Cricetulus griseus: one gene and its partners. The protein of the gene in region 2 purifies or fractionates together with the protein of the main gene of each other region. This does not show direct contact. Links are inferred from orthologs where the notes say so. Each region holds a gene or a part of one and is shown on either strand. Other genes may lie near its edges. The genes, in order: Asb7, Rnf7 and Asb1.

Evidence for each region.
Region 1: the proteins of Rnf7 (region 2) and Asb7 purify together in Homo sapiens (co-immunoprecipitation; 4 studies listed by BioGRID and IntAct, with this or other methods). This does not show direct contact. The link is inferred for Cricetulus griseus from reciprocal best matches to the Homo sapiens genes RNF7 and ASB7.
Region 3: the proteins of Rnf7 (region 2) and Asb1 purify together in Homo sapiens (co-immunoprecipitation; 3 studies listed by BioGRID and IntAct, with this or other methods). This does not show direct contact. The link is inferred for Cricetulus griseus from reciprocal best matches to the Homo sapiens genes RNF7 and ASB1.

What each region holds. Positions count from the first base shown.
Region 1 is NC_048596.1:130,567,244-130,570,893, reverse strand, and holds part of Asb7 (ankyrin repeat and SOCS box protein 7), read right to left. Parts: intron 1,034-3,650; coding exon 428-1,033; intron 1-427. UniProt on the Homo sapiens protein: Probable substrate-recognition component of a SCF-like ECS (Elongin-Cullin-SOCS-box protein) E3 ubiquitin-protein ligase complex which mediates the ubiquitination and subsequent proteasomal degradation of target proteins.
Region 2 is NC_048597.1:205,071,073-205,074,822, reverse strand, and holds the start of Rnf7 (RING-box protein 2), read left to right. Parts: upstream 1-1,337; 5' UTR 1,338-1,431; coding exon 1,432-1,606; intron 1,607-3,750. UniProt on the Homo sapiens protein: Catalytic component of multiple cullin-5-RING E3 ubiquitin-protein ligase complexes (ECS complexes), which mediate the ubiquitination and subsequent proteasomal degradation of target proteins.
Region 3 is NC_048595.1:443,061,241-443,064,890, forward strand, and holds part of Asb1 (ankyrin repeat and SOCS box protein 1), read left to right. Parts: intron 1-1,068; coding exon 1,069-1,215; intron 1,216-2,189; exon of another isoform or gene 2,190-2,195; coding exon of another isoform or gene 2,196-2,287; intron 2,288-3,650. UniProt on the Homo sapiens protein: Probable substrate-recognition component of a SCF-like ECS (Elongin-Cullin-SOCS-box protein) E3 ligase complex which mediates the ubiquitination and subsequent proteasomal degradation of target proteins.

The DNA of each region.
Region 1 (3,650 bases), on a different chromosome or scaffold from region 2:
CCTCCATTATTGGGCTATCTAAATAAGCCAGAGTGGCATTCCTATCATTGGAATTTGGTAATAAAGTGTGGAATCTGGACTATCTCTATAGCTAAGGAATCTAAAACCCCAAACTCTCCTTCTGATTCCTCAATCTGAATCCTACACAGTATTAGACAGACAGGCTATTGTTTGGACCAGTGGGAATTGCCTTGTTCTACCATCAAAACTTGTTCATCCTAAAAAAATGTCTGTCATTTCCTCTAAACTTTACTGTCCACTTTTAGTAACACAATTGGGTTTTGGATGAGTGAGTATTACTTACCAAGTGCGACTTATAGGAATGATTAATGTCTAGTCATCTCGTATTACAAAAATATCTCAAGCAACTCAGAAAGTGTGAATTAAGAGGGAAAGATTCAATAAGAGTAGTAATTATGTTACATACTTGTGACTTCTTGTAAGAAATCCAAACACGGCCGACTACTTCCTGAAATACTTATTGAAACGGCCAGAGGGGTCTGACCTTCATAGTTCCTTGTGTTCGTGTCTGCTCCATAGTTATACAACATCCGTGCACAGAGCACATCATCACGAAGGGCAGACAAGTGCAAAGGAGTCTGTCCGTCTTCTAGGCGCCCCAAGTTTGTGTCTGCCCCTCTCTGAAGGAACATGCGGCAGTAAGAATGATTGCTTTTAATCACAGCATAGCGCAACAGGAATCCGTTCTGAATGTCGATGTTGGCGTTGTGGTCCAGGAGGATTTTCACACAGCTTGATCTCTCTCGGATGATGGCGAGCTGAAGTGGCGTTGTACCTTTATCACTGAGTGGGTCGACCTCGGCCTTAAACTCCAGGAGGAGCCGGACAAATGAGTCCCTACCATAGTGAGCAGCCACGTGGAGAGGAGTCCAGCCATCATTGCTTTTTGCATTAATAATGTCACTCCTGTATTCAGACTCTAACATCAGGCGTGCAATCCGGGCCCGGCCGTGCATGGCTGCGTAATGTAGAGCGGTGAAGCCTCCAATTAAGTCCTTAACCGTAGGATCAGCTAGGGTTAAACCAAAATGAAAACATCAGTAGCTGCTGAGACAAAACAACTCTTATCAGGGCAGGCGGAGTATGGCTCAGCCAGTTATCACAGACTGTGAAGGGGTAAATACTATGAATGACACTGAAGACTTCCCCAGGTTTAGCAGAAGTTGTATCTTAGTGGAAAATACATTTCAGTAGGAATTTATCAAAGCCCGAGTCAGTGGGAGGAGGGGGACAAGAGCAACACTGTTTAAGGATAGACCCCGAATGCAGGCTCACAGCACCTCCCCACTCCTGCTAAGTTAAGTGTGTCTGTTGAGAGGGCTCATCGAAGCCTTATCCCATGGTTTCTCTTTTGTTGTCAGCTATTTGCTGTTTTTTTTCTTTCTTTTTTTTTTTCTCTTGTGCTGCTGCTTCTTGGCTTAAAGAGAAGCATGTGAGCAAGATGGCTGCTCTGAATTACAGTGTCCTGTGGTTGGCCAGACTTGTTTTAGAGTTTAAGAGGGTGGGGAGAGCGGCAAAGGCGAAGACCAGAGGCAGTCTCTGCACTCCACCAGACAATCCGGGGAGACACAGGCTGACTGACAGGACCATGATGAAGCATGTTTGCATGATTAAGATAGGACTTGGAGTTCAGTTATAGATCCTGCGAGTTTATAAGAATTAGCAAGCGCTTATGTGGGGGGAAAAAAATGGAAGAAACCTCAGTACTACTTTGTTTTTAAAAACCAGTTTTAAAACTCTCTCCTAAATCAATAGATCCATGGGAAGAAAAATTCACAAGAATTATCTGCTAAGCGACTGTTCAAGCTACAGACTTTTGCCACCCACTCTGGCCTTTTCAAAGATCAGCACTTTGTAGCTTACCATCCCTGAGCAGTAGGTAGAACAGAGTCACCTCCCCCACAGTATGGACACTGCTTCCTGGAGGCGAGTAAAGCAAACGAGGAAGAGAAACCAGCCCCACCTAACTACTAGCATTAAAATGCTTCTTGTGCAACTCAGTTTTGGGTTTGTTTACAAAAGAAAAAAAAAAACATGAATGTTTTTCACAGACACAAAATGCCCCCAAAGCTATGTGATGAAATACTTATGTGCTATTTAATAAGATCTTATTTCATTCCAGACTATAACAGCTGGGTTCTCTACAAGAGGCTGTGAGGCAGAAAATGATATGTTGAAATATTAATAATAATGTAGCGGGTAAAAATTGCAGTTAAAGAGTTGTTAGCAAATAAAACCTATACAAAGTAAACTATTATTTTAGCTCCTCATAACATCTGATGTAAAGTTACAGCTAACAACCACAGTATCACTTTGATCTGTCTACAAAAACAAAAAGAAAAGAAAAAGGTATCAGCAATGGCCTTAACTAAAAGAATATTCAGTACCTAGGACTATGCAACCCAAAGACAGGCGTGATGCAAAGCACTCTTCTGCCACCTACTGGAAGAGGCTGAACATGCACTAGTCCCCTTTCACTTTGAGCTCAGACCAAACTGCCTTACAGATCCTGCTGATACCTAAAATAGATGAAGTGTTAAGAGTTCTTGCTGCTCTCTCCAAGAACCTGAGTTCAATTCCCAGCAACCGTATCAGGCAGCTCATAAACACGTGCTTCTTCAGCTTCAGCGGATCCAACACTCTCTTCAGGCCTCTGCAGGCATGCACATAAACCCATTCTCCCTCCCCCGCACCCCCATGTAAAAATAAAGATTTAAAAGTAAATGAATAAATAAGTAGAATAGATTAAACGAGGGCAGCCAACTGTTTACAGATAATGCCCCTTGATCTGTCAGTGAAAGTCAGGAACCCCATCTTTTACCCCTCCCACCTTTCATTCACCAGGGATACCTTTGAAGGTGCTAGAATCCTTACACCCTATAGCCATTCTATTTGACAAGTCAGGCTAAAATGCTGTTACACAAAGTTGCTCCTGCATGTTTGGTTTTCACCTTGGGTCTATTTAAGATTCTGCTTACATTCTACTGCTATACTGAACTAAGAAAACACAGATTAGCACAGAGAGCAGTGACCTGATTCATCTCAGCCCAAACCATTCAAACCAATTAACTGACTGCATCCTGCAAGCAGCACACAGAACTGAAAACTACAGGGTAAAAATGTGTAAAACTATAGCTATTGTCTCTAAGAAAAAGTGACAGAATGAATGAAATAACAGAGCACATGAGCAAATGCTACAGGGTCAGGATCAGTCAATGCAACATGATAAGAGCTCACTTGCAATGCTGGTGAAGTCTACAGATTAACGACAAGGTCAGTGAGAAACGTGCGGAATCCACTTGGCTGAATTATCTGCACAACTTCTCTTTATCCGTGAGACTCCCTAAGTGCTCTAGAACAACAATGCTGCCTGGCAGTGGTGGCACACACTTTTAATCCCAATGCCCCAGAGGCAGAGGCAGGGGCAGGGGATCTGAGTTCAACGCCAGCCTGGTCTATAGACAGAGTTCCAGGACAGCCAGGGCTATACAGAGAAACCCTATCTCAAAAAGCAAAAATAAATAAACAAATAAAATAACAACCCCGACAAGCTTCTTGCTCCCCCTTAACAGACACTTTCCCCCACAAGTGAGACCATTTTAAACAAATGGTAGCATAATCTAATCTAA
Region 2 (3,750 bases):
GTTGTGTCTGAAGTAAACTTCTGCCAGGAATGAATGTTTCAAGGTTACTTTGTCATGTGAATTATGGTCTTTGTGATTTTTGCATTTAAAAACACTATAACCCTCCCTGAGCTTTGAGACCAAGTGACTCTAAGGCATGAGGTTAATCTTAATTGTAAGAGGGCCCCCAAGACCTTAGCACAACTGACTCCATGATGGAAGTACCATTCAGGCTACATAATGAGTCCTAGGCCAACTTGGTTTAAAAGATGAAACTGCCTCAAAGCAAGCAAATAAACGGATTTGGATTTCAGCTATCTTTTCCATAAACAAAAGCCTTTGCAGATCCCAATACCCACGGCTGGTGGTGCACACTTTTAATCTGAGCAGCAGAGGCAGATGGACCTCTGTGAATACAAAGCCAGCCTGGTTTAAACTGTGAGTTCCAGACCAGGTGGAGCTACATAGTGAGACCCTGTCTCAAAACAACAAACAAAAGCCCGGGGTGGTGGCCCACACCTTTAGTCCCAGGTTTGGGAGGCAGAGGCTGTCGGAACTCTCTGAGTTCTAGGCCAGCCTGGTCTACACAGCTAGTTCCAGGATGGCCAGGACTACACAGAGAGGCCCTGTGTGGGAAAACCAAAACAAGGCAACAATAAACAAAACCATGACGAAAAAGTTAAGGTCCTAATAAATTTGAAGTGTAAAGAAATCCAACAAATAAAGAAATAAAGAAATAAAGAAATCCAAGATGCGGGGCATAGGGGTACACACCCTTAATCCCAACACTCCGGAGGCAGAGACAAATGAGTCTGTGAGTTCAAGTCCAACCTAGTCTTCAGAGAGTTCCAGGCCAGCCAGGGTTACATAGTGAGAAAAACCTTATTAAAAATAAATAAATAAAAAAGCAGAAGGAAGATAAAGAGAAGAAAATGGAAGGAAGGAAAGAAAAAGAAAGAAATAGAAATCCAAGACTCCCATGCCCAAATTGAGACCCACTGAACCGGATTCCTGGATCTCTAAAGTCGTGACTTGTACCAAGTCACACACACCTCCTGTGGCCAGGCTTTTTGTAAGATATGGAGGTTACGGTGATGGAAGAGCCTTTTCTCCCTACTCTGATAGTTCACATTTCGGAGAGAGGAGTCTAATGAAGGCAGAAACAAGGTGATTTCCGAGAGCTCCGGGTTTGGTAAAGAAGGACGCAGGGCAAGGCTCTCTCACTGTCCTCTGCCAGCTCTGCAGTAAACGCCCGAGGCCACCACGGACGATCAGCAGGCCCCGCCCCTCCCGCGTGACGTCAGCGGGCCGCGCCAGGCCATCAGCGCCGCCTTCCTCTGGCTGCGCGGCGGGACCTGCGGGAGGCGCTGTGGCGTGCATTTGGGCCCTAGTGAGCCGCCATACCTCCCGCCTCAGCGCCCAACGTCCGCGTCGCCGTTCTGCGCCGCCGCCATGGCCGACGTGGAGGAGGGCGAGGAAACCTGCGTCTTGTCCTCACACAGCGGGACTGCGGGCTCCAAGTCGGGGGGCGACAAGATGTTCTCCCTCAAGAAGTGGAACGCGGTAGCCATGTGGAGCTGGGACGTTGAGTGCGATACCTGCGCCATTTGCAGGGTCCAGGTGATGGGTAAGCAAAGCGCTGCACGCGAGGCCGGGGCCGTGACGCGGCCTGCTGGGCGAGCTTCGCGGGCGACGGGGGGGGGGGGGGGCGAGCTGCCCGCGCTGGGTGAGTCCTGCGGGGAGGGGCGGGGGGCGTGGCCGAGGAGACAGCTGGACCGTCTCTCGGAACCCGTGGGAACCTCCGGGGTTGTGTTGGTAGCCCAGCGGCCCGCAGACCTCACAGCCGAGCCCTCTCGTGGATCTAAGCGTTCATTTAATTAATTAACTAATTAATTGATTAGTTAATGATTTTGGGGGGGAGAGACGCTCATGTTTCCCAGGCTGGCTTGGAACTTGCCCATTTAGCCGAGGTTGGCCCTGAACTCCTGGTGCCCCTGCCCGCACCTTCCAAATTCTGGAGATGACGAGCCTGCGCCACCGTGCGGATCTTGTTTCATGGCTCTGTCGCCACCGAAATGATGCGCAGCCATTTGTATGGGTTCTCTGCAGCTATTTGGCTGGCTTTTAAAATTTACATTGACCGAGTCAGATAGAGCTCGCATGTCTTGAGGCGAGGGACAAAAGAGTATTTTAGATTTATGGGAATCCAAGGATAGAAAAGCCTTTGCTTGATTCAGAAACATGAAACTTAATTATGTCCCCTTCCCACCCTTTTGTGCCCTTTCGAAGAACCTTCTTTCATTAGTAGTCCATTTTTTTGTTTGCCTGTTTTTTCGAGACAGGGATCCTCTGTATTATTTTGGAGGCTGTCCTGGAACTTGCTCTGTAGACCAGGCTGACCTTGAACTCACAGAGATCCTCCTGCCTCTGCCTCCCAAGGTGTGCACCACCAACGCCTGGCCTCATTAGTAGTCCAACATTTTAGTATTTTGAACGAAAATGTTGGACCAAATGAAACGTATCAAAAAATCGTAATCTCGTTGAGTTTTACATAGTTTAAGAGCTCAGCCCACCTTGAAAAGAACCCTGTTTCTGTCAGTTTCTCTTGGGGGGGGGGGGGCCTGGTGGTTGTTGACAGGGTTTCTCTGTGCTGACCAGGCTGGTCTCAAACTCAGATAACCGCCTGCCTCTGCGTTTCTAGTGCTGGGATCAAAGGCGTGTGCCACCATCGCAGCTCTTATTTATTTCTCTTTTAGACTCATTCAGTCTTGTATAGTCCAGGGTGGCCTTGGACTCCAGATCTTCCTGCTTCCTCCCAAGCGATGAAATTTGTAGAAATGTCTGTGGCATGATGGGGATTGAATTCCTTCAGGCTAGGCAAACTACCAACTGAGCTGCATCCCAGCTTAACATAGGTTTCCAAAGTGTCGGTTAACACCTGTAATGCTCTGGAGGCCGAAGCAGGAGAGTTTGAGACCAGCTTCCAGCAAAAACAAAAAAACAAAAAACCAGGGGCTGGAGAGATGTTTCCGAAGAGTGAAGATTGTCCATACAGATTTCCCACACCCACATGGCAGTTCACAACCCTCTGTAACTTCAGTTCCAGTTTATCCAACACTATTCTGGCTTCAGAGGGCACTAGACACATACGGTGCATAAATGTATGCAAGTAACATAAATTATGTGAGAGTTTATTAAATTGCTGTGGGCTGCAGAGATGGCTCAGTGGTTAAGAGCATTGACTGCTCTTCCAATTCCAGGGAATTGGACTTGAGTTTAATTCCCAGCACCCACATGGTGGCTCACAACCATTTGTAATGCCAGTCTTAGAGACCTGAGGCCCTTCTCTGTGGGCATTGCATAAACATGGTACACAGACACACAGGCAGGCACAACATGCATACACATAAACTATTAACTGGGAGTTGGTGGTGCGGGCCTTTAGTCCCACCACTCGGGAGGTGAGGCAGGATCTCTGCCTTCGACAATTCTAGCATTAGAGTTCAGAGACCACCAGAGCTGGAGCCAGGCACAGGTGTGTCATGTGCTTGAGCCAGTGTGAGAAGAGGGAGGGAGTAGTTTCAATCCACACTAGATGTTTATTTTTATTATTATTTTTTTTAACCTTTTGAATGCCTCTAGCCCTGGTACTAGCAACACATTGTAACAAAGCTAGTTGTGAACTCACAGGGGTCCTCCTGCCTCGGCCTCTTTCTTTCTGGATCTGGAGAAATGGCTCAGTGGTGAAGAGCACATACTGCTCTTAACATA
Region 3 (3,650 bases), on a different chromosome or scaffold from region 2:
ATATGAGAGTTGGGAATCTGAGCTTAAGGGCTCATGTTTTCGTGACAAGTACTGCCAATTGAGATATCTCACTAGCCTCTTGAAGTGTGATTTTAATACAAAATGTATGCCTTTGAGATTTATTTCCTGTTATTTCATTTCCATTGCTACAATAAAAATACCTGAAAAAATACTATAAAGAAAAGAGATTTATTTAGTTCAGCCTTAGAGGCTGAATATCATGGTGCAGGTTCTCATGTAAGCCTTACCTATGGTACCTTAAAACAGACAGCAGTGGGGGAGCTGTGATCTCCTGATATCCAGGAAGCCAGAGACTAGGAGGGCTGGTCTCATGCTCTTATAATAACCGTCTGATAAGAACTAGCCAGGATTCCAGGAGAAATTCTTTAGTCCTGCAGGAAGACACTTTGCCCTGACACTGTGGCCCAGTGTGATGCCATACTGGTTAAAGGGCTTTGCTGTCTCCCAACACTACCATACTGGGACCATACTTCTAACACATGGACTCTGTGGATACAGTAGTACTCTGCTGAATTGTTTCTTATCGAGACACCCTGCTGCTATTTCTCGGAGCAGCATGGTAGGGAGCTCACCTACCTTCCAGGTAGCAACTGTTGTTTGGCCCTAGGCTTTGGCTAACCAGCTGTCTTTGTAGTAAAGGAGATGGCTGCCATTCTCCTTTCAGATACCCCAATTCAGAGACGCTCTTACATACTTGCAATAAATTAGAGTAATTACATGCTAGATTTTTTTTGGCATAATATTTTAAATTGTAATTTGGTAGTACTTTATTTAGGTTCTTCTATGTTATAAAGTACTATTGACTTATTGTTCCATTGTTCCCCAGTCCATCACATTTTCTTTTCTTAGAAAAAAAATTCTTATCAGCTTTGGTGTCAGGAATGTGCTAATTTGATAAAGGGAACTTTACAGCTTTCTCTTATGAATTATTTTCTGGGAATTTGAAAGTTCCTGTGTGGCTGGGCAGCAAGGAGCCACTTCAGAAGTCATCCTATTTGATTGGCCTTGCTAACAATTTCCCACACTGATAGGAGCCCCTCTCTTCAGTGCAGGTCCTAATCTGAAGGAGTGGCTGAGGGAGCAGTTCTGTGACCATCCACTAGAGCACTGTGAAGATACACGGCTCCATGATGCAGCCTACGTAGGGGACCTCCAAACCCTAAGGAACCTATTGCAAGAGGAGAGCTACCGAAGGTGAGCATCCCTGCTGGGGCTGGTAACAGGTATTGGCCTATGGGTCTTCAGGAGGCTGGACTTTGTGGTTTGGATGGCAGATTAAGACTGATGCTACAGGAATGCATTTTTGGTTTTAGAGGAGGGACAAAAGGAAGAATTATTGGTGGCCAGATATTGTGGGCAGAGGTTCCTGGATCCAAGTCTGGCCCTGTGATTGGCCTTCATGTTTTCTGGCAACTTGTCCTATCTGGGCATTGGCATTAGTTTCCTCAGTGTTTTTCTTGAAGGCAATGTTAGAGATATCAGTAGTGACCTTATCCCTCCAAGTCTCCCATGGCTCTTTAAAAAACAAAAAAGATATTTTATTTATTTATTTGAAGCAGGGTCTTACTCTGTAGCCTTGGCTGGATCAGAACTCGTTATGTAGACCAGATTGACCTCATATTCACAGAGATCTGCCTGCCTCTGTCCTGAGTGCTAGGATTAAAGGTGTGCACTACTATTCCTGACTATTTTACTTATTTTCATTGTGTGTATGTGGGGGTGAGTGGGTGGGTATGTGCATGTAAATACAGGTGGCCACAGAGGCCTGAAGAGGTCATCCATTGGAACTGGGTTACAGGTGATTGTAACCCATCTGATGTGGGTGCTGGGAATTGAACTCAGGTCCCCTGGAAGAGTGGCTCATGCCCTTAGCCTTTGAGCCATCTCTCCAGCCTATCTCTTACGGCTCTTTATCTTGGGTAGTTCTTTTCCTACTACCACTTTGTTGACATTCCTCTGATGTTCTCTTCTTCACTTCTCAGGTCTGTAGTGATCAGCCATAGGCCAGCTGACTTCCCAGTATAGGGATGTGGGGCTGCCATCTTCTTTGTTTTCTTTTCCTGGCCTCATGATTTCCCTGAGTTCTTTGTGTGAATGAAGTCCCAATTAGATACTGAATACATGAAACTGGCACTTTATACTTAAATGTGTTTCTACTTTGCCTTGAGGAATGGATGCAGTTAATTGATGGAAGTCCCTGTGGGAGACCTACACTACTGCCTTTGTGTAGACAATTCACAAGCAAAGGATTCCTAACCAGCCAGGAGTATGTTTCTTTCATATCCTTCTAATGTCTTAGCACTGTTTCATAGAGCACATGTCAGTAGTTAAAAATCAAAACACAGACTAGACAGATGATTTAGCAGTTAAGAGCTCTTGTTGCTCTCACAGAGGACCCAGATTTAATTCCAGCACTCACGTGAGACAATCTCTTCTGACTGCTACAGGCACCAAGCATGCATGTGTACAAAAATATCCGTGCAGGCAAAACATTCATACATGAAGTTAAGTGAATAAATCTAATAAAACAAAACACAAAATTTAAATTTATTTAATGTGACTTAAGCCCCTGAAAGACTTAAGCACACAGATATAGCAGTAGAATGAAAGGGTTCAGTGAAGTTCCTATTGTGCTACCCTCCCTCTCCCTGCCTCTCTTCTCTCTTCCTTCTCTCTTTCCTTTTTCTCCCTTTTCCCCACCTCTTCCTCCCCATTTGGCCATCATATAGCTTTGTAGCCTAAGCTGGCCTTCAACTCCTGACCCTTTGTCTCTGCTTCCACCTTCTGAGATCTAGATTATTGACCCATGCCACCACACTCTCTCCTTTTTTCTTAAACTCAGGGTTCATGGAGTGGCCTCTTCCTTTGACATATTTTCTTTTGCTGTACATTTCTCTGTTGGTGAATTCTGGAGGGTTTCAGGGCTTTATTGGCTCATATCAGCCCATGTATGACTGGAGGAGGAACACCAGGAATTGGTTTAGTGAGACACTGCTTCAGTGTGGATGGTGAGGTGAAGCACACCTTGGTTGCTGACTTGGAGGATCAGTGAACAGTGTAGATAGTTATCTGGTGGTCATACTGACTGGGAGCTGCATCTGGACAGTTTGTTGCTACTGCTGGTCAACAATGCAGTCCCTGTAATTTTAATGATCTCCTAGGTTCTCAGTTGCTCTGGGTCAGGGTAGGAGGATGTTACTAATACTGATAGTCTCTATATGGAGAAGATTCCAGCCTTGAACCTTTATAGGTGGTCACTAAAAAGAGGGCGTGCATGGCCCTGCCTTTCTTACCCTGTGTCCCCAATGGATCTATATATGTTTGGTAGAGGAACAGGCTTTGGAATGTGGGTTAGGAATCCAAGAACTAGAAATCTCAGTTTTAGTGCTAACTATTCTGTTGAAGCCTCTAGCTTCCTTGCCGTGGGCCCCAATGCCTATTTTCTCTGCTCGATTTCAGTAGGGGCAATTGTGGAAGCCTTTCAGGACATAGAACTCAAAGGGCTGGAAATGTAGCTCAGGGGTAGAGTTCTTGCATAGCATGTACAGGATCCTGGGTTTGATCTTCAGCACCATGAGAAGGAAAACAGAACACAACGGAAGGTATTCTAAATCTGAGGGTTTGCTACC